3 linked regions of the Xenopus tropicalis genome follow. The protein of the gene in region 2 binds, or shares a complex with, the protein of the main gene of each other region. Links are inferred from orthologs where the notes say so. Each region holds a gene or a part of one and is shown on either strand. Other genes may lie near its edges. The genes, in order: polr3d, crcp and polr3k.

What was found.
Region 1: crcp (region 2) and polr3d share a complex: the UniProt entries of both Homo sapiens proteins name them as parts of the RNA polymerase III complex. The link is inferred for Xenopus tropicalis from reciprocal best matches to the Homo sapiens genes CRCP and POLR3D.
Region 3: crcp (region 2) and polr3k share a complex: the UniProt entries of both Homo sapiens proteins name them as parts of the RNA polymerase III complex. The link is inferred for Xenopus tropicalis from reciprocal best matches to the Homo sapiens genes CRCP and POLR3K.

Annotation. Positions count from the first base shown.
Region 1 is NC_030679.2:129,686,848-129,697,338, forward strand, and holds the start of polr3d (DNA-directed RNA polymerase III subunit RPC4), read left to right. Parts: upstream 1-4,358; 5' UTR 4,359-4,419; intron 4,420-5,469; 5' UTR 5,470-5,470; coding exon 5,471-5,620; intron 5,621-7,561; coding exon 7,562-7,605; intron 7,606-7,855; coding exon 7,856-8,004; intron 8,005-9,066; coding exon 9,067-9,191; intron 9,192-9,316; coding exon 9,317-9,488; intron 9,489-10,035; coding exon 10,036-10,304; intron 10,305-10,491. UniProt on the Homo sapiens protein: DNA-dependent RNA polymerase catalyzes the transcription of DNA into RNA using the four ribonucleoside triphosphates as substrates.
Region 2 is NC_030678.2:97,813,997-97,824,487, reverse strand, and holds the start of crcp (DNA-directed RNA polymerase III subunit RPC9), read left to right. Parts: upstream 1-4,524; 5' UTR 4,525-4,586; coding exon 4,587-4,594; intron 4,595-4,618; exon of another isoform or gene 4,619-4,816; intron 4,817-7,069; coding exon 7,070-7,106; intron 7,107-8,478; coding exon 8,479-8,577; intron 8,578-9,385; coding exon 9,386-9,480; intron 9,481-10,491. UniProt on the Homo sapiens protein: DNA-dependent RNA polymerase catalyzes the transcription of DNA into RNA using the four ribonucleoside triphosphates as substrates.
Region 3 is NC_030685.2:40,338,269-40,348,759, forward strand, and holds the start of polr3k (DNA-directed RNA polymerase III subunit RPC10), read left to right. Parts: upstream 1-4,131; 5' UTR 4,132-4,165; coding exon 4,166-4,276; intron 4,277-8,131; exon of another isoform or gene 8,132-8,154; intron 8,155-10,389; coding exon 10,390-10,477; intron 10,478-10,491. Other genes in the region: snrnp25 (U11/U12 small nuclear ribonucleoprotein 25 kDa protein), read right to left, coding at 3,942-3,962. UniProt on the Homo sapiens protein: Core component of RNA polymerase III (Pol III) which synthesizes small non-coding RNAs using the four ribonucleoside triphosphates as substrates. Can mediate Pol I proofreading of the nascent RNA transcript.

The sequences.
Region 1 (10,491 bases), on a different chromosome or scaffold from region 2:
CCCCTGAAAAATACTGTTATGAGAATATAAACAAAGCATTTCCCATAGATTCTGAACAAATGGCAATAATTGATTCTTTGAACAACTCGCTTGTTCAAGTTCTGCTATTCAATAATTAGAAGGCACAACACAGTTTACAGTGACAAGGGGCTCTGTGAACTTACAGTTTTATTGTTACTTTTTATTTTTTAACTTTCTATTCATATTTCAGTCTCTCATTTAAAACACTGCCTTGTTGCTAAGGTAAACAAGACTCTAGCAACCAGACAGCTGCTGAAATTCCAAACTGGAGAGCTGCTGTACAAAAAGCTAAATAACTGAAAAACCACAAACAATTAAAAAATGAATACTAATTGCAAACTGTCTCAGAATATCATTGTCTATGTCATACTAAAAGTTCACTTCAAGGTGAACAACCCATTTAATTTATATTTTTTTGACAATATGTCCCCTTTAAGCCCCCTCTTCTGCTCTTGGTTCCTTTTGACTTATGGCTTACTGTGTGTTTGATCTGCCAGGAAAAAACACCAGCAGAGAAAAGACCAATCTGTTCTACATTCATCCCATGTGTGTAGTGACAGAAATAACTGAGATCCATCTTCCGCGACACACGCAGGGCAGATTTTGGGCCACAAAAAATGCAAATACAAGCAGTATTTTACAATGGCAGAAAAAAAATGCTCAGTGTGCCATAAGACTTAAGCTAAGTACATATGCCTCTGCATATTTCCTCCTGTGTTTGAGCCGTGGGTGTAGAGAAGCCGATGCGCTATCATCTGCGTCATTTTTCTGCACTAACGTGCACTACGCCGATCTGTGTGCAGCATGAATTTCGCCATGAAAACGAGAAATTCATTTTCAAGCATCGGTCCTTTCTCCACCCGTGAAAAATGTGCAGGCAGAGAAGTAGCCGAGGAACAGCTTCACGTCTAGATTGTAAGCTCTACGGGGCAGGGACCTCCATCCTCTTGTGTCTTTGACTCTTAACTTATTGCAACTGTATCTTGTATTTATTTATTTGTATTTATTGTTATACTGTGTATTTATCTATTATTATCTTAATAACCCCCTGTTTGTATTAATCTATTCTACTGTACAGCGCTGCGTACATAAGAAGTGCTTTATAAATAAACATATACATACATACATACGTGACCAGTGTCGGACTGGCCCACCAGGATACCAGGAAAACTCCCGGTGGGCCCAGGTGTCAGTGGGCCCTCCTGCTCCTGACCATTTGGCCTACTTCATGCTCATTCCCTATTTCTGAATGGGAAGAAACAGGAGAAATAGATGGAAGAATAGATGTTAGCATGTAAATAAAAGAGACTAGGAGAATAAAGAGGTTGGATAAAGAAAAGGAGAAAAAACTTGTGGAAAGCGGCAAAAAAAATATTGCTTGGCAAGGCTACAGTTTATAGCTTTTTTTTCCTATTCAGGTCCTCCCCTATTCCTATACCAGTCTCTCATTCAAACCACTCCCTGGTTGCTAAGGTCATTTAGACCCTAGCAACCAGATAGTTGCTGAACAAAAAGTCAAATAACTAACAAACTACAAATAATAAAAAATTAACATCCACTGCAAATTGTCTCAGAACTTTACTCTCATCATGCTAAAAGTTAACTCAAAGATGAACAACCCCTTTAACTGCTGCATGTACTGTGGAAGTGAAAATTTTAGCCATGCTCACTTTGCAGCCACACCCTAAAAAACACTGAATTAATAAAAATATACCCCTATATACGTAGCTGAACAACAAACACACTGTGGCCCCAAAAGCATTTTATGATGGACACAGCGGTTACCTCTCTGGCAGCTAAACTTAAGACCAATTCTCTGTCTCTATGTGCCCAAAGAAGCCTTTCTACCTAGGATTCCTTCATTCCACCTAGCCCTAGTTTAAACAAAAACTTTTTCTTTTTTCACATCATAGTCAGTGGTGCCCTGATATGCTCTGATTAATGAAATACATAGTTTACCAGTAGTAACCTCCATTAATTTTACCCCCCTCTTTTCTTATATTCTTTTTCCTGTGTTCTTATGGAGGCCATGTAGCCCAAAATGTATTATTTGTCTGTAACTCTGGAGCGCCCTCTTCTGTCTTTTGACCTAACAGATGAGGTCTTATGAGGTAAAAATAAAAAATAAATATATAAAAAAATAGCGTGATATTGTTTACAAAAGTGTATGCACCCATCGGGAAGGGCTGCCGCGCCCAGAGAGCGATAACCGCAGGTCACGAATGGGGGAAGTGAAGGAGCAGTAACCCAAGCTATGGAGAGAGACTCTTGATAAGAGCATTTCCCAATTTGTTTGTGAGTGTATTAGTAAAATTGTTTTAATATTAAAGTGATTAAGATTTTGCACATGTAGGGGGAGATTTACTAATCCACGAACGGTCCGAAGGCGTCCGAATGCGTTTTTTCGTAATGATCGGTATTTTTGCGACTTTTTCGTCGCCATCGCGACTTTTTCGTATGTCCTGCGATTTTTCCGTCTCCGCTGCGGTTATTCCGTATATTTTCAGCAACTTTTTAGTCACCGTCGCGAAAAAAATCGGATTGGTTTTTCCGCCGTCTACTATCGCTCAATACGGAAAAATCTCACCGGCGACGCAAAAGTCGCGCAAAATACAATAAAGTGGCGACAAATACGAAAAATTTCGACGCCGATGAAAAAGTCGCAAAATTTTCATTTCCAATACAATTTTTTCCCTTTTGGGATTCGGATTCGTGGATTTGTAAATCTCCCCCCCCGTAGCGTGCATTTGTTAGCATTCCTGAGTAAATATAAGTGGAGAAGGAAAACTGAGAAGTTGCTGGTTTACTATCAAGCTTCCTAACTGGATATCCATTGATCAAAAATGTTTTTTGATAATGTCTGATTTATAAAAGTGAAGGGAGACGGAAAATCTGCAAATTCACAGAAGTGGTCACATTGGGTGCTCATAGACCTCAAGTGGATTTGGGTGTTATAATTTAGCAACATAACTTGGTGTGATAATTACAAAAAAGAGTGGTAGTAAAATATAACGAGCATGTACTTTTGTAAACAATATCAAGCTTTTTTTTTTTCCATTTTCACCTTATGTTAGGTCTAAAGACAGACGAGTTACACACAACTAATATTGGACCTGGGACACAAGGTATTTGGAGTAGGGATCAAATATTTGGATTTTGCACTATTTAAAGGAGACATATTGGATAAATGGGAAAAACCCTAATTTTGTAGGCAATTATGAATAATATTCGGTGCTGGTTTCCCATTGTGTTTAAAATTAATCCTATCTGTAAAAATGGCCCCTTTGTTGGAGCTCCCTATAGATCCTGTCTCTTCTCTGACCAAGTTTGAAATAAAGAGTGGGCGAGTCCTAACGGTCCCTGCCAGAAGCACAGTAGGAGGGGGAGAGCCAATCACAGCCCTGCACTCACACAAGCGCAGACAGGCTTCAGTTCCCTATCAGGTCAGCCTAGCTGCTGATTGGTTCCTATCCTACAGTGCAGTGTACGGAGGGCCGCCGGCTCCCCAGCTCATCCAGAGAATTCAGCCAGCAGGAAGTGGAACAGATGGGCGGGGCTAGTGGGGTTTTGGGGGAATTTCTCAATAAATCAGTCTGAAACACAACTTTTTTAAGCACATTCCTTCTATATCTAGAGGAGTATAATTCACTGGTACATTCATAATTTATATAGGATATGTCTCCTTTAATAATAATAATAATCATATTATTTTTGACCCAAAATGTATGACAGAGTAAACATTTACATAATTCTCCAAAAAAAAAAAACCCCAAACCTGATTCTTTAAAAAAACAAAAAACTTTTTTAGCCAAATTGGGAGAAGAGGCTCTGCTGTGAGCAGATTCTTGGACACTACCATCAATAAGCACCCTAAAACTACAGACTACTCATTATACCCGCAAGATACTTTTATATTAGCCCATATGTTGTCCCTAAATGATGGAAAAGTATCATTCCAGTCTTCATATAAAACTCTGGATCAGAACATAAAATAACTGATTTTGGGTAACTGTGGGTGGCAGTCAGTGTGGGCAAACTCATCTGCCAAACAGGGATCTTTACTGACGCCCTTTGGAACCCTGAAACTTTTAGAAAAAAAAATACAGCTACCCTCAAATTACAAAGTTGCTAAAAAGATCCTATCATTTTACCCACCCATGTTTTGCACACAAATTTTTTTCCTATTTAGTTCGAGCAGACTCAGCAGCACTCTCCAACAACTTGAGGGCTCCGCTCAGTCCGCTCGCCACTCCCACAAGGCGGCTACGTCCCGTGTCCCTGCACTTATATGTAGGCGTGACGTCACACTCTCGCGTGATGAGACTTGCGGCGTCGGGATTTCGTGTGAGACATGTGGAAAGGCGGAAGCAAGTAACAGCTCTGGGAGGTGTAAGTAAGGTAAAGCAATGGTGTTGAGAACTATGCACTTTCTTGGATCAGCCGGGCCCTCTGCTGTCAGTGAGCTGCAGTTTTGGGAGAGGAGCATTGGAGCTACGGTATTTGCAGCGGGGAAAGAACAAGCAGACTCCCCAGCTCCCTTCTGAAGTCTACAGCTCACTGACAGCAGGGGACCTGACTAATCCAGGTAAGCACAGCGGGCCCTTTTAAGGCTGAAGACACACAGAGCTACTAGTAACAGCTACTTGTTGTGGCTACAGAAACAGACAATGCTGATCATTTACTGATAATTGTCTCTTGGTGTGTTTTGGCAGAGGCAATTCTCAGTATTGTCTATGGCGGGGATTTTCTGGTATTTAGTAGCCGTGAAAAAGTAGCTGCTACTAGTAGCTCCGTGTGTCTTCACCCTAAGGGCAGTGACACACGGGGAGATTAGTCTCCACGCAACCAATCTTCGTTGTTGTGGGCGACTAATCCCGTCCGACCATCCCGCTAGAATGTAAATCAGCGGTGGGATGGCATATGCAGCCCCGCGATTTGCCAAAGTCGCCCGAAGTTTCCTCTCAAGGCAACTTCGGCAAATAGCGGTGCTGCGTATGCACACAGGGAGATTAGTCGCCTCAAGACCATTCTTTCTCCCCGCAATCCCATCCCACCAGCTAGAATGTAAATCGGCGGTGGGATGGCATATGCGCCACCGCGATTTGCCGAAGTAGCGCGAAGTTTCCTTGCAAGGGAACTTTGGCAAATCGCGGTGCTGCGTATGCCATCTCACCGGCGATTTACATTATAGCTGGTGGGATGGCATTGCAGGGAGTTTAGTCGCCCGCGACGACGAAGATTTGTCACACTGTGACTAATCTCCCTGTGTGTCACTGCCCTAAAATCCCTCATGGTGGCCCTGGGGCTTAGCCTCCACTACAGGTGGCCAGTTTTGTATATAAATATATAGACAGTGTTTTATAGAAAGCAAGCAGTAACATAAACACCACCACGTAGGTGTAGGAAACGTTCCTATCCCCATTCTCATGTATTAATTCTCCCCAACAGAATGTCTGACGGTAATCCAAGCAACGATGGTGGGGGGCCGCGTACTCCAATGGGCAGGGGGCTTGTGGGACGCAGATCTTCTACTCCTCTTACCCCAGGTCGCCTTCCTTCCATCCGCTCCCGAGATCTTACGCTTGGCGGAGTCAGAAAGGTGGGTTTCCATTGGCTGTTCTTACAGAGAAGTGGCTGGTCAAATGTGACTATCTACTGCCAGTTCTAATATCTGCACATATATGTATGTTGGATATCACATGTATCTCAACCAGGCCGTACTGTCACTAAGGGCGAAGACACACGAATATACTTAGAAGCAGCTACTTTTCATTGCTACTAAACCCCAGAAAATGCCCTGCCATAGACAGTACTGAGAATTGCCTCTGCTAAAACACATGTAGAGACAATTATCAGTCACCAGAGAATGTTTATTTTTAGCAAAAAAAAGCAATAACAAGGAAATGGAAAGACTCAACACCCCCCAAATATTCACATTGGCTCTCTGAAGTCAAACACCTATGTGCAATGGAAAGTCTAATATATAAAACTAGAGGAGCCCCCAAAAAACACGAAAAAATATGGGGAAAATGGCTAGAAAAATCCACTTAAGTGAGCTATGGCGGTATTTTCTCAAAGCATTTTATGATAGTATGTTTGTAACTGTAATATGTGCCAACATCCGAGGGAAACAGTCAGCAATGACAAGGGAAAGGAAAGTGCATACAAAAGATAAGGTTATAATGTAATTTAAAATGCTGTTGCAACTTTTGTTACTGCAAAACATGTCATATACTAAAACTACATTGTGGAACTCTGCCTCATAAATGTGATGTATATATGCTGAAACTGATGTAAAATCTTCTCAATAAACTTGCCTGAATTAAAAAAAAAAAAAAAAAGACAATTATCAGTAAATGATCAGCATTGACTATTTTAGTAGCCATGACAAGTAGCTGCTAGTAGTAGCTTCATGTGTCACCCTAACTTAATACTGCCCTGGTGCGGTTATTAGGGCTGTGACAGACAGGGAGATTAGTCGCTTGGCAAATAATCTCCCTGTCTATCACAGCTCTTAAAGGGCACCCCCCACCAAATAGGGGAAACAATAGCCTTTCTTTTAAAAACTGCCCCTGACAGCGCTGGGAGGGAGCCCCCGTTGTGGCCAGCCATGTTGGAGCCGCAACTTGACAACATAACTCATTATGCGCATGTGTGTAACTTAGGAGGGTGATTTACATCCACCACTCCTACGACACGTGCATAGTAAGTAAGCGGGGATATCCGCGCATGTGCGCCGACCAACATAGCCGATCGTACTGGGAGCTCTCTCCCAGTGAGGGTAGCCCGGCGCTGGAAGTTTTTTTTTTTTTTTTTTTTTTTTAAACTCTTGTTTCTCTCAACTGGAATGCAGGCTCTATTAGGCCACACCTCTGGTGGAGGAAACAATATTGGTGTGATAGGTGCCCTTTAAGTTTTTTTGGCTGTAGGACTCTCAGTGAAGATTCATTTATATCATAGGTGTTTTACGGGTCATATTCAGTCATGGAGGGGTAAGAGCAATGAGGTGCACAAAAGCACATTTGAGAAGTCTCTTGCGCCCCCCTGCACTCTGTGCCGGATAAAAAAAAATATTTGATGCTGAGTGACAAGCAAAGCCTCAGGATGGGCCCCACTTTGGGCTGAACATCGTGCTGCTACTACCTTGCCAATACCTCAGTATTAAGTACAAGATAGGGGGCGGGAGGAAAGGACGCCTGTGTGCCCCTCCAGCCACCCTTTTTAAACTACACAGTGGGCAAAGTGCAAAAAATGGGCGATTGCAGACCTTTTTTTTTTTGCACACTGCAAGGGGGCTTTGTAAATGAGCCTTTAGTGTTCTTGCCAAACATCTCTATCAGTTCATCTTCAAGAACGGACTCCCTTGTATTGTAGGTCAATACAAATTGCACTGATATTTTGTATAAATCCTACTTCATGTTATTTAATCAGTGTATGGGAAGGCTGTAAGGACATACATTTTATCGTTTTTTTTCTGTATGTCTAATAATATAAGAGTTTTGACATGTCTTAAAGACCTGCACTATCTCTTCTCTTACAGAAAACATTTGCTCCCAACATCATCAGTAGAAAGATAAAAGAAGAGTAAGGAAAATGGCACCTAAAGGGAACTTTCCTGCTTTGTTGTACCCATCTATTTATCTTCTTTTTTTTTTTTTACTGTATCTATTTTTACACCTTTATTTTCTGACTTTCTTGTGATGCTTCACTTATAACAGTTTTACGTTTGCTTTATTCTATATCTATCTGTAGTCTTATCCCCATGCTTCTATTCTGTCCATTCTCTTTCTGGTCTCCCCCACTTTCTTTTCACAATTCCTTGTGTTGTTTCCAGGCCCAAGGAGGAAGTGTCTGTTAAGGTAGAACGTGCAGAGCGTGGAAGGGACCGTCGAGATGGAGCAGGAAGAGGGCGTGGGAAGCCACAAGTCATACAGAGTCACTCCATCTTTGAGCAGGGACCAGCTGAACAGCTCAAGAAGAAAGGTAAAGCATGGGAAGGAACTGGTTTTTACTGGGAGCTCCAGATAATTGGCATAAAGCAGAATGTAACATTTTTGGTACAAAGCTGAACCAGTCACAGTAATTAACAAGACAGTTTGCGACTCAAGTGAGGCAGATTTTTGCCTTATATATGGCAATGTATTTAACACATAGCAGCACATAGTGCAATTTAGAAGACACGGGATACCCTAATGCATTATAGCCAGAGGCATAAATTGTATGCTGCATGATAGGTCCCCTCCCCAGCCACTAGAAACGTTGCCACCTGCTACCGCTTGCCCTGCTGAGGGCAGCATTGCGCTGGGGGGGAGTGGGTTGGAGACTGCCTATGAGTGTGGCGCCACTGAAGATCTCTTACAGGGTGTCCAGCACTGGGTGGCAATGCCACAGATTATAGCTCAGAGGGATGCAAGGGGTAATGGTTACATTTCAATTCTCATTTAAAGCATTAGTGTTTCAGGTCAGATGACTCATACAGGAATGCACCACACCCACAATTTTAAGATTTGGCCAAATACCAAATCCACTACAAGAGATTCCTGAATAAAATGCAAACCCTATTTTATATATTCTAATGGTTAAAATCCTCGCCCCACCCCAAACTTACAGCAGATGTATAATAGTATTGTCCAGTCATATGATATAATGGGCTTGGTTTTGGTTCAGCCATACATGACGGATATTTCAAATTAAAAAAGGCTGTAATTACGTTCAGATTCCAAACCAAATCTGGGGTTCTGTGCATCCCTAGATAAATACACTTAGGAAACAGCAATGTGGAGCATTGAATTTGTCTTTACAATCCTTACAGCTCATTGCTGTGTGTGTATTATTTAAGGCTATGACCTATTACCCTTGGGCTTACCTGTATGTAAGAAACAAGCAAGAATGGCTAAATGGCTGAATATATTTTTTTTGGGGGTGCGTTTGCTTTTTGGTTCATCTTCTTGTTTTAAACTAAAGTGACTTCTTCACATAATTTGCAACTGTGTCAAAAAGTACAATCTACATCTGTTCTGACTGTACCCTCCCTTTAAATTATAGTTGGATGGGATGGACCTTCAGAATCTGCTGACTTTGGCCCATCACACATCATTAACATAAAACGAGAGAAGCGAGAAACTGAAGAGGAGACGAAGGAGATCCTCCGCATGCTGGAAAATGACAAGGTAAATGGTTTACTCTGGAGAATTTAAATGAAAGACAAAGTACAGTACTTTTTTAAATAGTAGTTAAATGTGTTGTACATAGAAGTTAGTGAGAATAAGAATTTTTGTCTTTTTTTCCCTCTTAGTTTCTTGATGACCCTGGCCTCAGGAATGATTCTCAGAACCATCCAGTGCAGATCCCACTTGCCCATTCTGGCTGGCTCTTTAGGCAAGTGGATGAAGAGGAGGATATAAAGCCCATTCAAGGACAACTTAAAGAGGAAAAGATGGAAGTAGATGATACTTCTCAGGTTAAAGGTAATGTCCTTTGTAGACACAACTGTCTTTGCACTTTTCCTTTACAAAGAGCTCTCCAGATACCATGGCAGAAGTTCTCAATGTAGAGCAAAAAACCTAGCATCCGTAATGGAACTGGACTACATTTACTGAGAAAATTAAACTTTCATTAAACCTTAAAATTAATTCATGACAAATTGAAGATCATACTGGTTCTAGCACTACTTTTTCTCTGAGCACTTTTGCAATTTATAGTTATTTTTTATCTTAGCAGTTTCTTAGATGTTTGCATTTTCCAACTACTTATACCAGGCTTTTGGCTTAACTGAGAGTCTGCAACCCTAGGCTTATGTATGTATAGGAAGTGCACAGACAGGAGTGCTGACACTCTGACCTTCAAAGATAGTTGCTAAATTTAAAGCCTGGTATTAGCAGTCTAAAAAACCATTAAAAACAGAAGTTTAATGTTAATTGTATAGTGCTCAAAGTACCAATCTGAATAAGCTGATATGCCTTTTAAAGGGCCAACATGCACATTACACTACATGCTTTCTCTTCCCCTTGCTAGTAAAGGAAGAACCAATGGAGGATGCTGGTGCATGGAAGCCTGGGGTGCCCTCTGCAAAAGTTCCCATTGTTAAGAAACCCCCTGTAACCAAGGATGTGTCCTTCCCAGAGATGCTGGAATCTTTGAGGGTTTCTGATGAAGAATGTCTCTTTTTTGTGCAACTTCCTGACACTCTGCCTGGACAGCCTCCAAGTTTAGAGACAAGGCCTACAAAGACTGAAGTGCAGAGTGAGGATGGCCATATGTTACTGGTCAAGGACAAAGGACAGGTACATAAAGCTACTGCACAGGTGCAGGGACGAGGTGGCCGACCGGGTTGCCTAGGGCGCCCGGTCGGCTCGGCCCGCCCCTGATCTCGGCTATTATTATGCATTATATAGCACCACGATATTCCACAGCACAGGTACTTTATGTTTAACTTGTAGTGACACACCTCTGCTTCCATCAGTTCAAACA
Region 2 (10,491 bases):
AATTGCCAGTGCTGACTATATTTCAAGTCATCACGGCGGGGTATTGGGAAAAGTTTTCAATTAGCAATAATCACGCCTCGGTTTGACCTCATTGGCTATGATACTGCCACTGCGCAAAGCTGATTGGGCCCCTGCCTAAGTTAAGGGGCCCCTTGTGGGACGGGCTTCTTTCAAGTGTGGCTACGGCTGCCCAGCCGATGCAATGGATTGTGGGAATCCATATGCTAACGAAGCCCTTTCCAAGGGCCGCCTTCCCGTCGCGCCGTAACCAAAGCACCCTTCTCCAGCGCAACACCAGGCAAGCGAGCCAACATCTGCCTTTTAACCAAGCACATCAGTCTCCTGAGAGACTGTCAAAAATTGCCAGTGCTGACTATATTTCAAGTCATCACGGCGGGGTATTGGGAAAAGTTTACAATTAGCAATAATCACGCCTCGGTTTGACCTCATTGGCTATGATACTGCCACTGCGCAAAGCTGATTGGGCCCCTGCCTAAGTTAAGGGGCCCCTTGTGGGACGGGCTTCTTTCAAGTGTGGCTACGGCTGCCCAGCCGATGCAATGGATTGTGGGAATCCATATGCTAACGAAGCCCTTTCAAAGGGCCGCCTTCCCGTCGCGCCGTAACCAAAGCACCCTTCTCCAGCGCAACACCAGGCAAGCGAGCCAACATCTGCCTTTTAACCAAGCACATCAGTCTCCTGAGAGACTGTCAAAAATTGCCAGTGCTGACTATATTTCAAGTCATCACGGCGGGGTATTGGGAAAAGTTTTCAATTAGCAATAATCACGCCTCGGTTTGACCTCATTGGCTATGATACTGCCACTGCGCAAAGCTGATTGGGCCCCTGCCTAAGTTAAGGGGCCCCTTGTGGGACGGGCTTCTTTCAAGTGTGGCTACGGCTGCCCAGCCGATGCAATGGATTGTGGGAATCCATATGCTAACGAAGCCCTTTCCAAGGGCCGCCTTCCCGTCGCGCCGTAACCAAAGCACCCTTCTCCAGCGCAACACCAGGCAAGCGAGCCAACATCTGCCTTTTAACCAAGCACATCAGTCTCCTGAGAGACTGTCAAAAATTGCCAGTGCTGACTATATTTCAAGTCATCACGGCGGGGTATTGGGAAAAGTTTTCAATTAGCAATAATCACGCCTCGGTTTGACCTCATTGGCTATGATACTGCCACTGCGCAAAGCTGATTGGGCCCCTGCCTAAGTTAAGGGGCCCCTTGTGGGACGGGCTTCTTTCAAGTGTGGCTACGGCTGCCCAGCCGATGCAATGGATTGTGGGAATCCATATGCTAACGAAGCCCTTTCAAAGGGCCGCCTTCCCGTCGCGCCGTAACCAAAGCACCCTTCTCCAGCGCAACACCAGGCAAGCGAGCCAACATCTGCCTTTTAACCAAGCACATCAGTCTCCTGAGAGACTGTCAAAAATTGCCAGTGCTGACTATATTTCAAGTCATCACGGCGGGGTATTGGGAAAAGTTTTCAATTAGCAATAATCACGCCTCGGTTTGACCTCATTGGCTATGATACTGCCACTGCGCAAAGCTGATTGGGCGCCTGCCTAAGTTAAGGGGCCCCTTGTGGGACGGGCTTCTTTCAAGTGTGGCTACGGCTGCCCAGCCGATGCAATGGATTGTGGGAATCCATATGCTAACGAAGCCCTTTCCAAGGGCCGCCTTCCCGTCGCGCCGTAACCAAAGCACCCTTCTCCAGCGCAACACCAGGCAAGCGAGCCAACATCTGCCTTTTAACCAAGCACATCAGTCTCCTGAGAGACTGTCAAAAATTGCCAGTGCTGACTATATTTCAAGTCATCACGGCGGGGTATTGGGAAAAGTTTTCAATTAGCAATAATCACGCTTCGGTTTGACCTCATTGGCTATGATACTGCCACTGCGCAAAGCTGATTGGGCCCCTGCCTAAGTTAAGGGGCCCCTTGTGGGACGGGCTTCTTTCAAGTGTGGCTACGGCTGCCCAGCCGATGCAATGGATTGTGGGAATCCATATGCTAACGAAGCCCTTTCAAAGGGCCGCCTTCCCGTCGCGCCGTAACCAAAGCACCCTTCTCCAGCGCAACACCAGGCAAGCGAGCCAACATCTGCCTTTTAACCAAGCACATCAGTCTCCTGAGAGACTGTCAAAAATTGCCAGTGCTGACTATATTTCAAGTCATCACGGCGGGGTATTGGGAAAAGTTTTCAATTAGCAATAATCACGCCTCGGTTTGACCTCATTGGCTATGATACTGCCACTGCGCAAAGCTGATTGGGCCCCTGCCTAAGTTAAGGGGCCCCTTGTGGGACGGGCTTCTTTCAAGTGTGGCTACGGCTGCCCAGCCGATGCAATGGATTGTGGGAATCCATATGCTAACGAAGCCCTTTCCAAGGGCCGCCTTCCCGTCGCGCCGTAACCAAAGCACCCTTCTCCAGCGCAACACCAGGCAAGCGAGCCAACATCTGCCTTTTAACCAAGCACATCAGTCTCCTGAGAGACTGTCAAAAATTGCCAGTGCTGACTATATTTCAAGTCATCACGGCGGGGTATTGGGAAAAGTTTTCAATTAGCAATAATCACGCCTCGGTTTGACCTCATTGGCTATGATACTGCCACTGCGCAAAGCTGATTGGGCCCCTGCCTAAGTTAAGGGGCCCCTTGTGGGACGGGCTTCTTTCAAGTGTGGCTACGGCTGCCCAGCCGATGCAATGGATTGTGGGAATCCATATGCTAACGAAGCCCTTTCAAAGGGCCGCCTTCCCGCCGCGCCGTAACAGAAGCACCCTTCACCAGCGCAACACCAGGCAAGCGAGCCAACATCTGCCTTTTAACCAAGCACATCAGTCTCCTGAGAGACTGTCAAAAATTGCCAGTGCTGACTATATTTCAAGTCATCACGGCGGGGTATTGGGAAAAGTTTTCAATTAGCAATAATCACGCCTCGGTTTGACCTCATTGGCTATGATACTGCCACTGCGCAAAGCTGATTGGGCCCCTGCCTAAGTTAAGGGGCCCCTTGTGGGACGGGCTTCTTTCAAGTGTGGCTACGGCTGCCCAGCCGATGCAATGGATTGTGGGAATCCATATGCTAACGAAGCCCTTTCAAAGGGCCGCCTTCCCGTCGCGCCGTAACCAAAGCACCCTTCTCCAGCGCAACACCAGGCAAGCGAGCCAACATCTGCCTTTTAACCAAGCACATCAGTCTCCTGAGAGACTGTCAAAAATTGCCAGTGCTGACTATATTTCAAGTCATCACGGCGGGGTATTGGGAAAAGTTTTCAATTAGCAATAATCACGCCTCAGTTTGACCTCATTGGCTATGATACTGCCACTGCGCAAAGCTGATTGGGCCCCTGCCTAAGTTAAGGGGCCCCTTGTGGGACGGGCTTCTTTCAAGTGTGGCTACGGCTGCCCAGCCGATGCAATGGATTGTGGGAATCCATATGCTAACAAAGCCCTTTCCAAGGGCCGCCTTCCCGTCGCGCCGTAACCAAAGCACCCTTCTCCAGCGCAACACCAGGCAAGCGAGCCAACATCTGCCTTTTAACCAAGCACATCAGTCTCCTGAGAGACTGTCAAAAATTGCCAGTGCTGACTATATTTCAAGTCATCACGGCGGGGTATTGGGAAAAGTTTTCAATTAGCAATAATCACGCCTCGGTTTGACCTCATTGGCTATAATACTGCCACTGCGCAAAGCTGATTGGGCCCCTGCCTAAGTTAAGGGGCCCCTTGTGGGACGGGCTTCTTTCAAGTGTGGCTACGGCTGCCCAGCCGATGCAATGGATTGTGGGAATCCATATGCTAACGAAGCCCTTTCAAAGGGCCGCCTTCCCGTCGCGCCGTAACCAAAGCACCCTTCTCCAGCGCAACACCAGGCAAGCGAGCCAACATCTGCCTTTTAACCAAGCACATCAGTCTCCTGAGAGACTGTCAGAAATTGCCAGTGCTGACTATATTTCAAGTCATCACGGCGGGGTATTGGGAAAAGTTTTCAATTAGCAATAATGTGAGGTGCGGCTGAGGGGGTTGAAATCACCAAAGCTTGTAGCTTAGCAGTAAAATGTGGATGAAGTTTACCAGAGTGCACGTTACATGGCTGTGGCACCCTGGGAAATTAAGAATATTCCTAGCCCTGTATGAAATTAAAAAAATAAATGTGTTTTTGAAAAATGGATTTTAATGCAGGATTCTGTTAGAGAAACTATTGTTATTATTAATTGGTTTGGAAAAAAAATGTTATTGTTCTTTCAGAAATCACACTGGGTACAAAAAGAAGTAGGAAAAGTGGTTGAAGAACTACACCATTACTATCTATATTCAGCCTGGTGAGGTTTCATTCTACTGGGAGACTGCCTTAGTTTGGGACGTTCAAAGCACTCAGGGACGCATCATACACTTGAATACAAATAACGCTTGCAAAAACGAAGTTGAATCCTACACGTGTTTCAGGAGGGTGAACTCTTCCACTTCCTGTTTCAGCGGTTCCGCAGCCTCCGTTTGGTTCCTGAAAGGGTCACGTGGCGTGACATCATCAGCTGCTCGACTTTTCGCTCGGCTTTTAATTGACCAACGTGAAAAACAGCATGGAAGTGTAAGAAATGTTATTTATAAATGTGTCTGTTTTAAAACGCTTCGAAATATTTAAGAGTTTTCTGCCATTTGCTTTCGAGCTGCTAATGAACGTGTGCGAGTGAAAGCTGGGTAGGCAGCAGCATGGTGTTACCTGAGAAATCATTCCAAAACTTCCGGATTGTATACGTGCTTAGCTGTATGTGGTTTCGATGTGTGTTTTTATGTGTTTTGCTGATTGACAGTAAGTACTTTACAATTACATATATAGTGGAACAGAGTAAAGGTTTATATCAGGTGATATTTACAGGGGGCTTATAAGCATTTTCTTTTAAAGAAACGCTTACCTTTGCACAAACTACCGTCTATGTAAAGATTGCACATTTCTAAACATATCTCTAACATAACCTCCAATATTAACAAAAATGCAAGCTAACCCCTGCATGCAGAGAGGGTTGCCGACCCCTGCATGCTTCTGGCTGATGCCGCCTACATAATCTTATGGGGGCAGTGCCAGGTTTGTGCAATGTCAGATTATTGTTGTTTTCATGGAAGTGTGCAGTCATGTGATTCTTTTTCTCTGGGGAATTGAAGCCCTACCTCTCCCTTTGCTTTCTGAGCACCCAAACTGAGAGAAGAGAACACAATAAGAAAAGTACTAATTAATAACATGCAGTATGTTGTTGAAGGCAAGATAGTAGACAAAGCTGACCTTATACTTTATTCAATTGGGTTTTTGTGTATTGGGTGAACCTTCCCTTTATTCATGCTTTTGATGTGCGTATGAGACACAGCTTAGAGCAGGGGTCCCCCACCTTTCTTACTTGTGAGCCACAGTCAAATGTAAAAAGACTTGGAGAGCAACACAAGCACCATAAAAGTTCATGGAGGTGCCAAATAAGGGTGAAGATTGGCTATTTGGCAGCCTCTATGCGCCCTATCAGCTTACAGGGGGCTTTATTTGGTAGGAAATCTTGTTTTTATTGAATCAAAACTTGCCCCCAAGTCAGGAATTCAAAAATAACTACCTGGTTTGGGGGCACTGAGAGCAACATCCAAGGGGTTGGTGAGCAACATGTTGCCCCCGAGCCACTGTTTGGGGATCACTGGCTTAGAGAGTGTACCTAGGTTGTGACTTAATTGGTTCCACATTATTCTGTCTGGTTGTAACAACAAGCCTTCATATCTGCGTTTAAGTAGTGCCACATTTGACTGCATTTTTCCAGACAGCATTCAGCATTTTTATGCACTTACATGCATAACATATGTGTTCTGATGTATTCAGCAAGCATTTAAAGGAGAAGGATAGTTATTTTGGCATTTTACTGCCAATATATTTGTCACATTAGGGCCACCTAGAACACTATATTTATTCTGCAGAAAGATTTACTTGAGTAAAGAGCCCTAAAATCTCCATGCGATTGTTTAAGATTGCAGCTACCATTTTAGCTTGGTCTTCCTAGTTTCCTGCTGCAGTTCTAGAGGCTGGTAGCTTAATCTAGGAAGACCAAGATAAAATGGTAGCTGCAATCTTAAACAATCGCAGGGAGATTCTAGGGCTCTTTACTCAAGTATAGTAAAGCTTTCTGCAGAATAAATATAGTGTTCTAGGACTAGGAGAGTTAGTCAGATACCCAAGAACATGTTTACAAAAACGGTGACAAGAAATCATGTGTTTTTTTGATAGAGGACTCGGTGCAGCTTTTCTGTAAGTGCTTATGGCCGTATTTACATACTTTTCTGATAAAGCTTACTTAGTTTTTACCTTTTCTTCTCCTTTAAATAGATGCACTTTCAGACACCTGATTTTGAGAGACCTTCAGAGTAGATCAAATAAGCAGAAGCTGACAAAGTGTCTTTTGTGGGCATTTTATTAAGCATTCAACTTGACTTCGAGTGTGATGTAGTTAGCAGTATTCTAAGACAGTTTGCATTTTGTCTTTTTATGTTTTTTTATTATTTTACTTTTTTATTCTGCAGGTCTCAGATTTGGAATTTTAACTACTATTTTGTTGCTATAATTCAATAACCCTACCAGCCAAGCAGCAGTTAGGAAGTCAGACTGGCATGTAAATAGAAGAGGGCCTTATTAGAAAATTAAGGACAAATGATGTGCCAAAAAAATCTTACCTATGGTAACTATGTAATAGCGTTAACTTTGGGTCTAGTAACTCACAGCAACCAACCTAAGGAAACTGTATCCCAAAGGTCTTTCTGTGGCTAGTGCTATCGTCTGGTTAAACTCTGATCTCAGCAATTATTTGCTTGAGGTCCATTTATTGGTTAGTTAAATTCAGTGCTCACAGAGTTGAATGAAAATGGACCTATGAATCACAAACAAGCTCAATACCTTTCTGTTGCTAAATAAGAGTTTTATAGGCATTTGTTGGCCTTGTACAAATGATCCAGCCATAATGATTGATTAAACAAATGACATATAGAATTGTTTATTTGTTTTGCCTTATGGTGAATTACTTTTCCTTCCCTTTTTTTTTAGAAAAGATGCAAATGCAGCGCTCCTGAGCAATTATGAGGTTGGTAAAACGGAATATTTAAACATGTTTGTGGTAGATTATGTGTATTCATTATTATCACATTGTAATTGCAGTGCTTGTGGGGAAATGTAATAAAAGCTATAAATGGCTTAAAATGCACAATTAAGAACAAACATTTGCATGTGCTATGTAAAATTATTCAGTAGACAGTTATATAGTGATCTATTGTGTACTGTTATACTGTTATATGTGTAATATGCTCACGTTTTTCCACTGCTGGATGGGTCACCAAATACTTTTCAAAATAGTGTAAATTGCCTATACTATTTTAGTTAATTTTTATTACATTCCTTCTTTGTTGAGCTTAATATATGCACATAGCATACCTTTCATAAGTGTGTCGTCATGAAACATCAGTAAAGCCTGCTTTACCTGTATGTAACCCACAGATCAGTTTGAGATGTCCATGGACTGTGTATGAGTCAGTGAGTAAAGATGTTGGCTGTGGGCAGAGCTGCCTCCAGAATTCCATTTTTTCACTTTGAGCCCAGAAAAATTTGCGTCTGCTTTAAAGGTGGAGACACGGAGCTACTAGAAGCAGCTACTTGTCATAGCTCCAAAGAATGCTGATTGTTTACTGATAATTGCCTCTACGTGTTTTAGCAGAGGCAATTCTCAGTATTCTCTATAGCAGGGTATTTTCTAACATTTTGCAGCCATGACAAGTAGCTGCTACTAAGTAGCTCCATGTGTCTTCACCCTAAGGATCCAAACAGCTGTACTACCCATGATATGTTATATGTAGAAACATGATAATAAGTCTGCTGCACTTATGCAGGTGTGTAAGGCATACGCAATAGTTAATGGGGATGTATACTCCGAAACAACTTGAGATAAAATTGCTCATTATGCCCTTTTGAGTACATTTGCAGTTTGCTTGAATTGTCTTTCTTTCATATTTTTCATCATGTTAACAGTTTTAAATTTGTACCAGCTGCCACTTTCTGTGCTGTCCACCAGAGTGTCAGGAGTTGTTTCTTGATGCTTGTTTGCTCAGCTCTGTTGTTCAGTGTGGCAGGAGCAACAGAACGGCGCATACCATATGGAGATATATGTATCTGTGTTTTTGGTTGTTTTATTTTCAAGGTTTGATAACAAATTCTGTTGACCATGTAGCTTGGAGATTTTAAAATGCAATTGTGTGAGGGTGAAATGGGCACCTACTTCCTACTTTGCTCTTTAAACTAATTACCAGAGAGCCATCATGCTTTCTTATATTGACATATACATGCACACTTTCAGCTTTGGACTGTAATTGGTGAAAGAAGATGATTGTGGCTGTGCAGAATGCAGAAGCTTAGGTCATCACATTTAGAATCCTGTTAATTAAAGTCTTTTTGTTACCACTAAGGTTTTTCACCTTCTTACCGAGTTAAAAGCTAAGCAGAGAGAAGTACGAAAAAACAAGAATAGTGTTGGACAGCAAAATCTCAATACCATCATGTATGAAGTAAGTTCTGATACATTTCTTGGCTGCTCTCTAGGCACTTAGGGGCCTGAAACATGTTGTGTTGTAAAAGTTGACGATAAAATTTAAAGAGCAGTAATTCTGCCTTATGGTGCTCTCCTCATTATTACAACGAATATACAGTGGGGGAACCTTTTGGGGGAGGATGTTAAAGGGGTTGTAAACCTAGCCAGTATGCTGTTCCAATGTGCCCCCTAATTTTGCTATAGACGTTGCCAAAAAACATAATTATAGATGCAAGAAAATTCACCAGTGAGAATTCTACTGTTAAAAAATGTAATTATAAATGCAAAAGAACTGACCAGTAAGAATGCTGATCCTCAGCACTATGCCAGACATCTTGCTGTTATCTTACATTTAGAGATAATTATGTCATTTTTTTCTTTATTATATGACACCGGAATCGGACATGGGAGATTTAGGGGAATATTTTTGAAATATTTGTAAGTTTTCAAAGAATACTACCCTGATGCTACTGGACTACAGCTCCCAGCATGCCTCAACCTTTAATATATGTTGAATTGTGTTCTGGGATTTGTAGTCTATCAACAGCTGAGTAAAGTTTGGTTGAGCAGTGCAGTGCAGCTGTTTAGTACCCCTTTAATATTGGACAATATTTTACTTAATTACATACATTTCTGCCATTAAATAGCTTTATTAGCTTTTATCGATTTAATTGCAAGTTCTTTGTGAGATATTTAAAAAATGCAAAATATTCTTATACATTTAGTGTTATGAGAATTTTATGTTGTATAAAAAAACACACTAAATATATATTTACTTTTACTAGACACTGAAATACTTGTCCAGCAGTCCATGCCACTATCAGTCCCCTGAAATTGTACGGGAATTTCTAACTGCAATAAAAGGGCATAAACTGACCAAGTAAGTGTTATTTCAGTGCACTTTTGATTTTCATCTAATATCTATGGAAGGGGTAATTGGCATAGCTTCTTATATTTGTGACTTTCATGTGTAAAGCACACATGGCACTTAAGAGCTTGTGAGTAAGTTGAGTTTATTTACATTTGTCGCTCTGGACCTCTGGAACGTTGACGTTCCACACTCTCTCACGCACGCACACTCTCTCACGCACGCACACTCTCTCACGCACGCACACTCTCTCACGCACGCACATGCACACTCTCACGCACGCACACGCACACTCTCTCACGCACGCACGCACTCTCTCACGCACGCACGCACTCTCTCACGCACGCACGCACTCTCTCACGCACGCACGCACTCTCTCACGCACGCACGCACTCTCTCACGCACGCACTCTCTCACGCACGCACGCACTCTCTCACGCACGCACTCTCTCACGCACGCACTCTCTCACGCACGCACTCTCTCACGCACGCACGCACACTCTCACGCACGCACGCACACTCTCACGCACGCACGCACACTCTCACGCACGCACACTCTCACTCACGCACACTCTCACTCACGCACACTCTCACTCACGCACACTCTCACTCACGCACACTCTCACTCACTTCCAATCCAATCGTGTGTACCACAACCGTTGTTAGAAAGTTGGTAAACTGCCAAAATAGGGTGCTGTGTTTACTTCAGTGCTGAAGCAGGTGCTGCCAGAATCAGCAATAGTACACAGTTCATTAGGTACAAGCCAATTCATTAACCTAATCTATAAATAAAGAATGATAAGAAGTTGACACTATCTCAAGGCATGTGATGTTAGGGATCGCTTGTGCCCTGTACTCATGATTTTATATGGTATTGTGTTAAAATGGTCATGTGTGGTGTATTCTTACACCACATTCTTATATATATTTATGAATAGGTCCTGTATAGTGTTCTGGTGATGTCTTCTCAGAATATATGACTGGGATTCAGAAGCACAGCTGTACTACAAATCAGCTGCCCTTC
Region 3 (10,491 bases), on a different chromosome or scaffold from region 2:
ATACCAAAAGTCCTCAGCGCTCAGATGTGATGAAGTATCCAATCTTACGTGAACCAAATGTTTGTGTAAATAGACTCGGCACCATCATGACACTATACACATCCCGAGTCTATTATCCAGCCCTCAATACCCTGATGTGGCCCGGAGCCCGGCACTCTAGGATTACCCTTGTTTTGCTGATCGCTACACATATCTATGAGCTTACTAATACCAATGATCAGTAGATAGTTTAGATGATACCGAAAGGGTTACACCTGATGACATCATTAACGTCAGACAGGAGCTTTACACGAGGCATAGATACTTTGTATCAGAGCTATATAAGGCTGGGTACTAGTGATTTGGGACCATTTGATCTTTGCTCCTGAGGAAGTGTACCGACAAGTACACGAAACGCGTTGGGCTTTTGTGGACATTGAGCTCCTGTATCACACTACTTTTGTAAGTTTTATTCTTTATGCAGTTGTTTTTTAATAAATAATATTGCACCAGTGGCGGTTCTTCTCTTTGTGTGCCTCATTGAGGTTACAGCCACAGCCTGCAAGAGGATAACCATCCTTGGTCTGCACGTTGATACAGTTGCGTTCCACTTCAAGGATACAATATCCGTTCATTTGGCTACATTCTGCAAATGAATACATCATGTTTGTTTTGCTTCAACAACACTGCCATCTGGTAAGCAGTTAGTGGTACTGCACCCTGGTGTGAATGTTAATCTATTGAGCACAAGCAACACTTTATACGGGGTTAAGGTTTCACCTTATATAAACGTTGCCACACCATTATTTTTCCTTTGTTTTTGTTTTTTTTTTTTCCCTTATTTATGCGCTCCGGATTTCCATATCGTTGAGTAGTGTCATTCTGTGGCTACTAAAGCAAATAAAGTGCTGTCTTGTATAAAAAAGGGCATTGACTCAAGGGATGAAAACATAATTTTGCCTCTTTATAGGTCCCTGGTAAGGCCTCACCTTGAGTATGCAGTGCAGTTTTGGGCTCCAGTCCTTAAGAAGGATATTAATGAGCTGGAGAGAGTGCAGACGTGCAACTAAACTGGTTAAGGGGATGGAAGATTTAAACTATGAGGTTAGACTGTCAAGGTTGGGGTTGTTTTCTCTGGAAAAGAGGTGCTTGCAAGGGGACATGATTACTCTGTACAAGTACATTAGAGGGGATTATAGGCAGATGGGGGATGTTCTTTTTTCCCATAAAAACAATCAACGCACCAGAGGTCACCCCTTTAGATTAAAGGGGACGGAGCTTCCATTTGAAGCAGCGTAGGTGGTTTTTCACGGTGAGGGCAGTGAGGTTGTGGAATGCCCTTCCTAGAGATGTGGTAATGGCAGATTCTGTTAATGCCTTTAAGAGGGGCCTGGATGAGTTCTTGAACAAGCAGAATATCCAAGGCTATTGTGATACTAATATCTACAGTTAGTATTAGTGGTTGTATATATAGTTTATGTATGTGAGTATATAGATTGGTAGGTGTGGGTTGTGTGTGCTGGGTTTACTTGGATGGGTTGAACTTGATGGACTCTGGTCTTTTTTCAACTCTATGTAACTATGTAACCTGTGCCTTTTCTCTTTTTTTCCAGGTAGAATGGCTGCCCCCATGGCTACACAGCAGCTTATTTATATAAGCTATAGTACCATTACTTTAGCAAATACACAACTTGACCTGTGCAGGGTAACAGTACATTATAGTTTAAATACTTTAATACACTTTCATTTTTGGCATTACTGTTCCTTCAAGAGAGAACTAAAGACTACCTCTTGGAGAACCAGAGCCGTCTCTCGCTATATCCCAATAGCACTTGATATTTCCCTAATGCTCACTGTGGATGTTCAGTAAGCATTCTGCAATATCACACATATGGGCCCATTTATGAATGTACAAATTTAGATTGTGTTAAAATACGATTTGCGAAAATTCGTATACTTAACGATAATTTCTGATGTGTGGAAATGTTCAGAATGTGGTATAGATCGTGGTACGATCCAAAAGTTACGAAATTTTCATATCCAAACAATCGTAAATGGCGCGAAAATCTTTGTGTGACTTTGAACCTTCAGTGCATGTTTTTGGAAGCCACCCATAGGAATCAATGGCACTCTGCAGCTCCAACCTGGCCAAAGGAACGTCACGATACCGAAGCTTGAATGAATTACGAAACTTTCGTACAAATTATCACAAAGTACGAACAAGTCACAGAAATAAACGAAAATATCGTAGAAAATACGCAGAGTTCTAAAAGTTTGAAAAAATACCATTTTTTTGTAATCGTAAACCATCGTACATTGATAAATGGGCCCCATATTGTGTGTATTTGCAATGACATCAAATAGCACACGCACAGGTTATTAGCAGTGCACTGCAATAGTTCCCCAGTAGACAATCTCCTGGGGTTGAAAGCTCTGGAGCACATGCATAAACTGGGAACTGGTAGTGAATACAAGGTACAGTTGCTTTTAAGGGCACCTTAACAATATAGGGGTGATAGGTGCCCTTTAAAGCAACTGTACCTTGTATTAATTTCTATTTATTATTATACTTTGTACCAACGGATAAACCATCATATCTAATTTATGATAGCTTTCACCCTGACCACACTAAACACTCCATAATCTACAGCCAGGCTCTACGATATAATCGAATATGTTCTGATGCTACTGAAAGGGACCACCACCTAAGAACACTCATGGCAGATTTCATTAACAGGGGCTACAACCCAAGGATTGTGGATCAATATATCCATACAGCCACCAGGATTCCCAGAAGTCAACTTCTACAATACAAACAAAAAACAGAAATAAATTGAATTCCTCTAGTTGTCACATACGATCCCCAACAAAAGACCCTCAGAAAAATAGCCAAGGATCTACAGTGTACACCTCAAAAGGATGAGAGGCTCCAAAACATATTCCCAGACCCACCACTTCTGGCATTCAGGCAGCCCCCAAACCTAAAACAACTAATAACAAGAAGTGCCTTAATTCAACCCAACAAAAAAGGAACTTATCCCTGTGGCAAAAAAACAATGCAAAACCTGCCCACACATCTGTAATTCAGATTTCAGACACATTAGAGGAATACAACATCCATGGTCAGTACAACTGTTCTTCTTCCAATATGGTGTACTTAATACAGTGCACTAGATACTGAACAGGAGGACTGTATATAGGAGAGACTGGTCAAAGCCTGAGAAAAAGAAATACACACCACCGTTTTACTATAAGAACGCGATTTCTGATGGTGGCCCTGGTTCTATCAATTAGATGCTCTGCTGTACAGTGCTTCGTACATAAGTACTGTAATGCTTATACCATGTGGGGTTGATTCTCAGCACATGAAAAACCACAGGCCAAGAATCAGTTCCTTGGGCATCAGCCTCCTACTTTTCCAGGTCAAACCACTGCGTTGGCCCAGGTGCAAGCATACAATATGAATATCCACTCTAAAATGCTAAATTTACAGTTTCTTTGCTGATATCTGCCATGTGTGCCTGCACCCAGGCCAGCCCAATAGTTTCTGGTGCAGGCAAGGTAGGAGGCTGTCAGCGGAGGGACTGATTATCTGCATGCGGGTTTCCATGCGGCATCAGCCGTATATAAATAAGAATATAAATAGTTTATATAAACAAGCTTCTATGCAGCCATGGAGGAAGCACTTCAAGATAAAAAAAGGAGAAAGGCACAGGATACACAGCAGATACCAGATTAACACGAATATACCACCACTGCATTTTATTACAGAGCATATATGTTATATGATATCCAAACCTGTGCCTTTTCTCCTTTTCAACTTAAATGGCTGCAAGACTTCTAGTTCTGCTTTTGCTTTGCAAAAATTGCTCTTCTCGTGTTATCAGTTTTTGGGAGCTGGACTTAAATGTAGAAATTTAGAATTTCGAGTTAAGTTTTTCAACGCAATTTCCACTACCCACCTTTAGTTCACACCGTTTCATTCAAGTTACAAATGGAACTGTCGCAGATTTCTAGGGCGCCCATTAAAGACGTCATCACCGGGCGGAAACGTGCGCAATAAGATGTAATGTAGGTGAATGCGAGGCTAGGGCAAACGCGTGGTGATCATTCTGCTTAGGCAGCGGTACTGGCGTCTGGAGGATGAAGTGGTTGATGCGAAGTTTGAGCTAATCTGTTAGCAGCAATGTTGCTATTTTGCCCGACGTGTGGGAATGTGCTGATCGTGGAGGAGGGACAGAAGTGCTACAGGTTTGCCTGTAATACCTGCCCTTATGTGCACAACGTTAATCGCAAGGTATAATGAGGTCTTCTGAAGTGATAGAAATATGGTTTTAAGCGGCGTAAGTGTAGTCCTGGTGGCTACGAAGCCTTTTTATGCCTTGTGTATGCCAAGCATTGCTAATTGGCAGATAACATTACATTAGCAACAGTACAATGCGCTGATTTTTAAGTGCGGGATGAATCTGTATAAATTGCTAACAACATATTCTGGTAATGGCTGGGGCTTTTAGCTCTAAATTGTGTAAGTTTAATAGACTTACAAAGTTAAAAAGGTGATCTTATCATTTATGTTTTATGATAAATACTAAATAAAATGCATAGTAAATAGATACACCTGCTACCCCCACCCCCCAAAATGAACATTTGAATATACGCATATGACCTGTGATTTTTTTTTTTGTCTGATTTTTGCTAGTTTGTGGCCAAGGTCTTGCTTTTCTTCCTTTTTGGCTATTACCCTTCTGGGAACAAATCATCATAGAAGGGCACACTTTTAACCCTAAATTCACAATACCCAGAACACCACAGCACAATCACTTCCCCTGTGGAAGTGCATTACCTTGCTAAAGCACACTAATATCATAAATATATATTATAAAATGTGTCCTAACACTTTCATAAATAATATCTAAATAAATACATTTGAATATATATTAATACATAGGGAGTTCTGACCGCTAGATACTTATTTGACAAACTTTAAGGGGAAATACTGTAACCCTATCTTCACCACTTCTGGCACCTTTGACAGTGTTACACTCCACGAGTGGCGCTTACCTGATGGCACGGGACAAACCTGAATCACTCCGCAGTGGTATTGGGAGAGACTGGGTACCTGGTACTTATTAGCGCAGTGCCTCCACCTAGTGGGATCCTGGAGTGCACCTACGGGTGGCCCCACTAGGAACAATAATAATGCACACACAGTACTTGATAAACGAAATAACTTTTATCTGAAATAAAGGGGAAACTAATACAGATAACACTCCTATCCAAGTGGCAATAAGGGCCTTACTAACTAGCTTTGCCAGCGCAAGCTGTCTCACTAACTATGTACAGTCCTTTAGCTCAGTCCCAAAAGAAACAGTTTATATAGTTTAAATCTTCAAGCGCTCCTTTATTACTTTCACTTTAATGATACTCACTCCAGGAATCTCTTTGGGTGATTCACACAGAATCTTCAGGCGAGTCCAGCACTCACAGCCATGCAGTGCGACTACTAGCCCCTTTAGCTACTCAGATGGGATTCCCCTGCAGGTGTTTGTTCCTCCAGTCAGGACTCCTCACAGGATCTCTGTCTCTCCAGGTACAGGGTCTGCCTTCCCTGTACCAGCCTGTTCCAAAGGCCAGCTTCTTCTTGTGCTGCTCCTCTCTCTGAGCCCACGTGCAGCTTCTGGAGTTCTGGGGCTTTTTCTCTCCTCCCACTGACTTCCTCTCCCAGGCTGCTTTGCAACTTCCGGCAGCCCTGAGCTTGCTGTTCACCTTGTTGCTAGGCAGCAGCTCACAGCACAAAGTCTCAGTGCCAGCTCCCCTACAGGGAACAGCAGCAGGAGGGGGGTAAGTGCAGGGACCCAGCACTACCTCCCTACATTCTCCCCCTGCTTGAATGGGCAACGTCCTCGCTTGCCCTTTCTCACCATTCTTATTCTCCCTAACCTTTGGGGGAGATACACAGGGGAAAGCTTCCTCACTAACTGCCCTGACACTTCCCCTGCCTGAAGGTCTACGCATTCCCAGGCCCAGTCTCTTACTTTTATTGGGGGTGCCAGAGTGCTCAGAGACCATCCTCGTGCCACAGGATTTCTCTTCACAAATATTCACTTCACATGGGAAAGATGTCACATATACATCAGTGAAGTCTTCATTCCGTCCCCAGTCACAGGTGTGGGAAGTATGACCGTACCAACCACAGGTGTAACACCTCACCTGATTACGTCTCTTCCGATACCTCTTTTGGGGTGGCTTCCTCACAGCACAGCCATATGAAATAACTTCTGTAGCTGCAGCATTTTCACGTTGCGTCGGACAGTGTGGGGATATATGGCCCAACCGGCCACAACGGAAGCACTTTGGTGGGTCACCGCGAGCACCACCTGCTTTAGGAAATGAAGAGGGTCTAGACATAGTTGACCCCTCTTCCTTTTCGGACACACGAGCCTTGAGCTGAGCAACCTGTTTTTTTAACTCGGCAATCTCTTCCGCTTTCTGCGAATCACTGGATGTCCTTTCAGAACCACGTCTTTTCTTCTCTCGTCGCAGAACATTAACTTCCTCCTTTCGGATCTCACGGATCAGCTCCTGATAAGTTGGTTCTTTCTTTCCTCTGTAGAAAGATCTCAACATCACAGCTGTGGGGTCCATAGATAAAGCCCCTCTGAATAACTGTTGTAGCCTCATAGAATCAACACGATCTGTAGCAATGATTCTTCGGCAAACAAGTAATTTTAGCATTTGCTGCAGTCGCTTCAAGTACTCAGACAGATTCTCTTTTTCTTTCTGCATGCAAGACTGAAATTTGTACAACATTTCAATTTCATCTTCCACCGGTCCATATGTATCTTCCAGTACGTCTATCAACTTCTCAGGACCATCTTGTGGGCACACCTCTCGTTGGAGCTTAATTAGGTCCAATGCAGGCCCTCGCAAACTCTCCTGGATCTTGCGACATAAAGCAGGGCCAGAGCCAGGCCAATCGGTAATAGCAACCAAAGCAGCATCTCTCCAGGCCTCAAAGGCCTCTTCACCTGGAGGAGTAGGTTCCATACCTGAGAATATTTTTAGTCTCTTATAATTTCCATTGTATGCCAGCTGTCTCCAATTCTCACCGACTTGGGCCAAGACTTCCACCAGCTGAGCTGCCTCAACAACATCACTTAGAGGTCGGCTCCTCCCAGCAGAGTTCAAGCTTTCACATGATGCAGTGTATTTCAACTTTGTCTCAGGTGTCACATCAAACAGTCTTTTAGTCACTGGGCTGTGACCAGCAGCAGGTATCTGTGGGGTGCCACTGCACAGGGGATTTGGGTTCTCCAGATCACCTCCCACTTCATCCTCACTGTCACTAAGTTCCTTCTCCTCAGGGACATCCGGTAAGACAATTTGCCAGTAACCATGGTCTTCCGCCTGCACACCACGTGCACATGTTTCTCTGTTAATCTCACCAGGACTATCCACAAGCACATTTAAGAGGATGCCATCTGGGTCTCGTCGCGAAGCTACCACTCTAGGTCTATAAATAGATCCATCTGCATCTAGGATCTTGTAAATAAATTCCTCTTTTGTTTTTGGTATCATAGGGCCCACTACAGCAGTCTTTTTCGGGTTTAGGCCCAAACTCTTGCACCAGTCCAGAACACTCTGGGGACTCTCAGTAGATGACGCCATCTTGCTTCACTTTCTGTGCAACCAGGTCCCAGCGAATCTCAGCAGTGCCTCCAAAATGTCTATCTTCCCCACTTCTGGCACTTTTGACAGTGTTACACACCACGAGTGGCGCTTACCTGATGGCACGGGACTAACCTGAATCACTCCGCAGTGGTATTGGGAGAGACTGGGTACCTGGTACTTATTAGCGCAGTGCCTCCACCTAGTGGGATACGGGAGTGCACCTACGGGTGGCCCCACTAGGAACAATAATAATGCACACACAGTACTTGATAAACGAAATAACTTTTATCTGAAATAAAGGGGAAACTAATACAGATAACACTCCTATCCAAGTGGCAATAAGGGCCTTACTAACTAGCTTTGCCAGCGCAAGCTGTCTCACTAACTATGTACAGTCCTTTAGCTCAGTCCCAAAAGAAACAGTTTATATAGTTTAAATCTTCAAGCGCTCCTTTATTACTTTCACTTTAATGATACTCACTCCAGGAATCTCTTTGGGTGATTCACACAGAATCTTCAGGCGAGTCCAGCACTCACAGCCATGCAGTGCGACTACTAGCCCCTTTAGCTACTCAGATGGGATTCCCCTGCAGGTGTTTGTTCCTCCAGTCAGGACTCCTCACAGGATCTCTGTCTCTCCAGGTACAGGGTCTGCCTTCCCTGTACCAGCCTGTTCCAAAGGCCAGCTTCTTGTGCTGCTCCTCTCTCTGAGCCCACGTGCAGCTTCTGGAGTTCTGGGGCTTTTTCTCTCCTCCCACTGACTTCCTCTCCCAGGCTGCTTTGCAACTTCCGGCAGCCCTGAGCTTGCTGTTCACCTTGTTGCTAGGCAGCAGCTCACAGCACAAAGTCTCAGTGCCAGCTCCCCTACAGGGAACAGCAGCAGGAGGGGGGTAAGTGCAGGGACCCAGCACTACCTCCCTACAATACCTTAAAGAATAAGCCTTTTTTTTTTTTCTATCAGTAAAATTACTCTAAACAACCTCCAGAATTACCTACTTACCTACCTTTGTCCCAGCATTTTGTCCCAGCATTAGTGAAGCCCCGCCCCCCACTTCTTGTTCAGTTTTCTCTTCAGTTCCACTACTCTAGTGGACCTGGAGAGCCTTCTGGGCATGCCTGGAGGCAGCAGGAGCCAGTCTGTGCATTAGCAGCGTTTTTTTTTTTTTCTTGATGAGAGACCAAAACAGGAAGTGGGGTCGGGGCTTCACTCTGCACAAAGAAGCAAAGGAAAGCATTAACTTCTAACTGAGGAACCAGGTCAGACAGGATGCTGGAGTCAGTTTTAGAGTAATTTTACTGCATAAACTGCCCTGGCTGACATATACTATGTAGACAGCAGTGGCACCACCAGGGTCATAAAAATGCAAAATACTAATAACAGTTTGTAAACATCACAATGGGTATTTATCCATCCAGATAGCCATGTTTGTGCAACGTTTCGGGAAAGTCACATCCCCTTTCTCAAGCACATTATTATGGCCATCCCATATTGTAGAAGCACATTTGTTTGTAAGACCATGGGGCTGATTTACTAACCCACGAATCCGAATTGGAAAAATTCCGATTGGAAAACGAACATTTTGCGACTTTTTCGTATTTTTTTCGATTTTTTCGTAGCAGTTACGACTTTTTCGTTGTCGCGACTTTTTCGTAACCGTTACAACTTGCGCGAATTTTCGCGACTTTTTCATATTGAGTGCTCGTAAACTGCGGGCAAAACTTTCAGACTTAGCATGATTTTGGAAGCCTCCCATAGGACTCAATGGCACTCTGCAGCTCCAACCTGGCCCAAGAAAAGTCACGATACTGAAGCTTGAATGAATCCGAAACTTTCGTACTCGGCACGAAGGCTACGGAAAAGTCGCGACAATTCGCGCAAGTCATAACGCTACGAAAAAGTCGCAACAATTTCCGAAAAAATCGCAAAATACCGATCATTACGAAAAAAACGCAGTCGGACGCTTTTCGGACGTTCGTGGATTAGTAAATGTGCCCCCATGTATATAAAGAAGATGGAAGTGACGTAACTGGTCGCCATTGAGACGGGACACAACAACATTCACGGAAGCAGGTACACCACCATCGTCTGCGTTTTACTCTCTTTGACATAATTTATACACATAAAATTAAGCATTACAAGAAAAGATATAAATCAAAATCCCTGTGTAATATATATATATATAAAGGTCCCGATGGGGACCGAAACGTAACGTTGGCTGTTCATGCGTTTTTAATACACAATTGATTGTTTTTGGAATATAACTCGGTGTTGCTGGTCTTTTTTTGATATTTAAATCATTTACCTTGCACCAGAGCTAAGAGCTGAAGCAGAGTGCCACCCTGGGTTCGATATATATATATAATATTTCTCTGTTCACAGAAAAAAAAGCATTCTACAAACACACCTGGTTCACTTAAGATGGCCATACAAGGGCCAATTTCAGCTGCCGACATTGGTCCGTTAGAGACAGATTCTGCAGCTTATCTGCTTTTGTACGGGCACCACTGCCAGGTCTCCCCGACCGACCTATGGCCTGAAATTGGCCAGATCTCAATCAGGCAGGTTTGATTTTTCCTATGGATCCTATCGGGTCTCGCCAAATGAGCAAATCTTACACTGTATGGCCACCTTTATACTTGACCCTTTCTAGTTTCAGTTGATTCAGTTCAAAATTAGCCCCCTGTACTGCAAGTTTAGTAATACACATCCTGACATAAATATGTATGCCTTTCTTCAAGGTAACAAGCAGAAAATATCCTAAACTTAAGGAAGTTGATGATGTTCTGGGGGGATCTGCTGCTTGGGAAAATGTTGACTCTACTGCAGGTGAGTTATAGCAT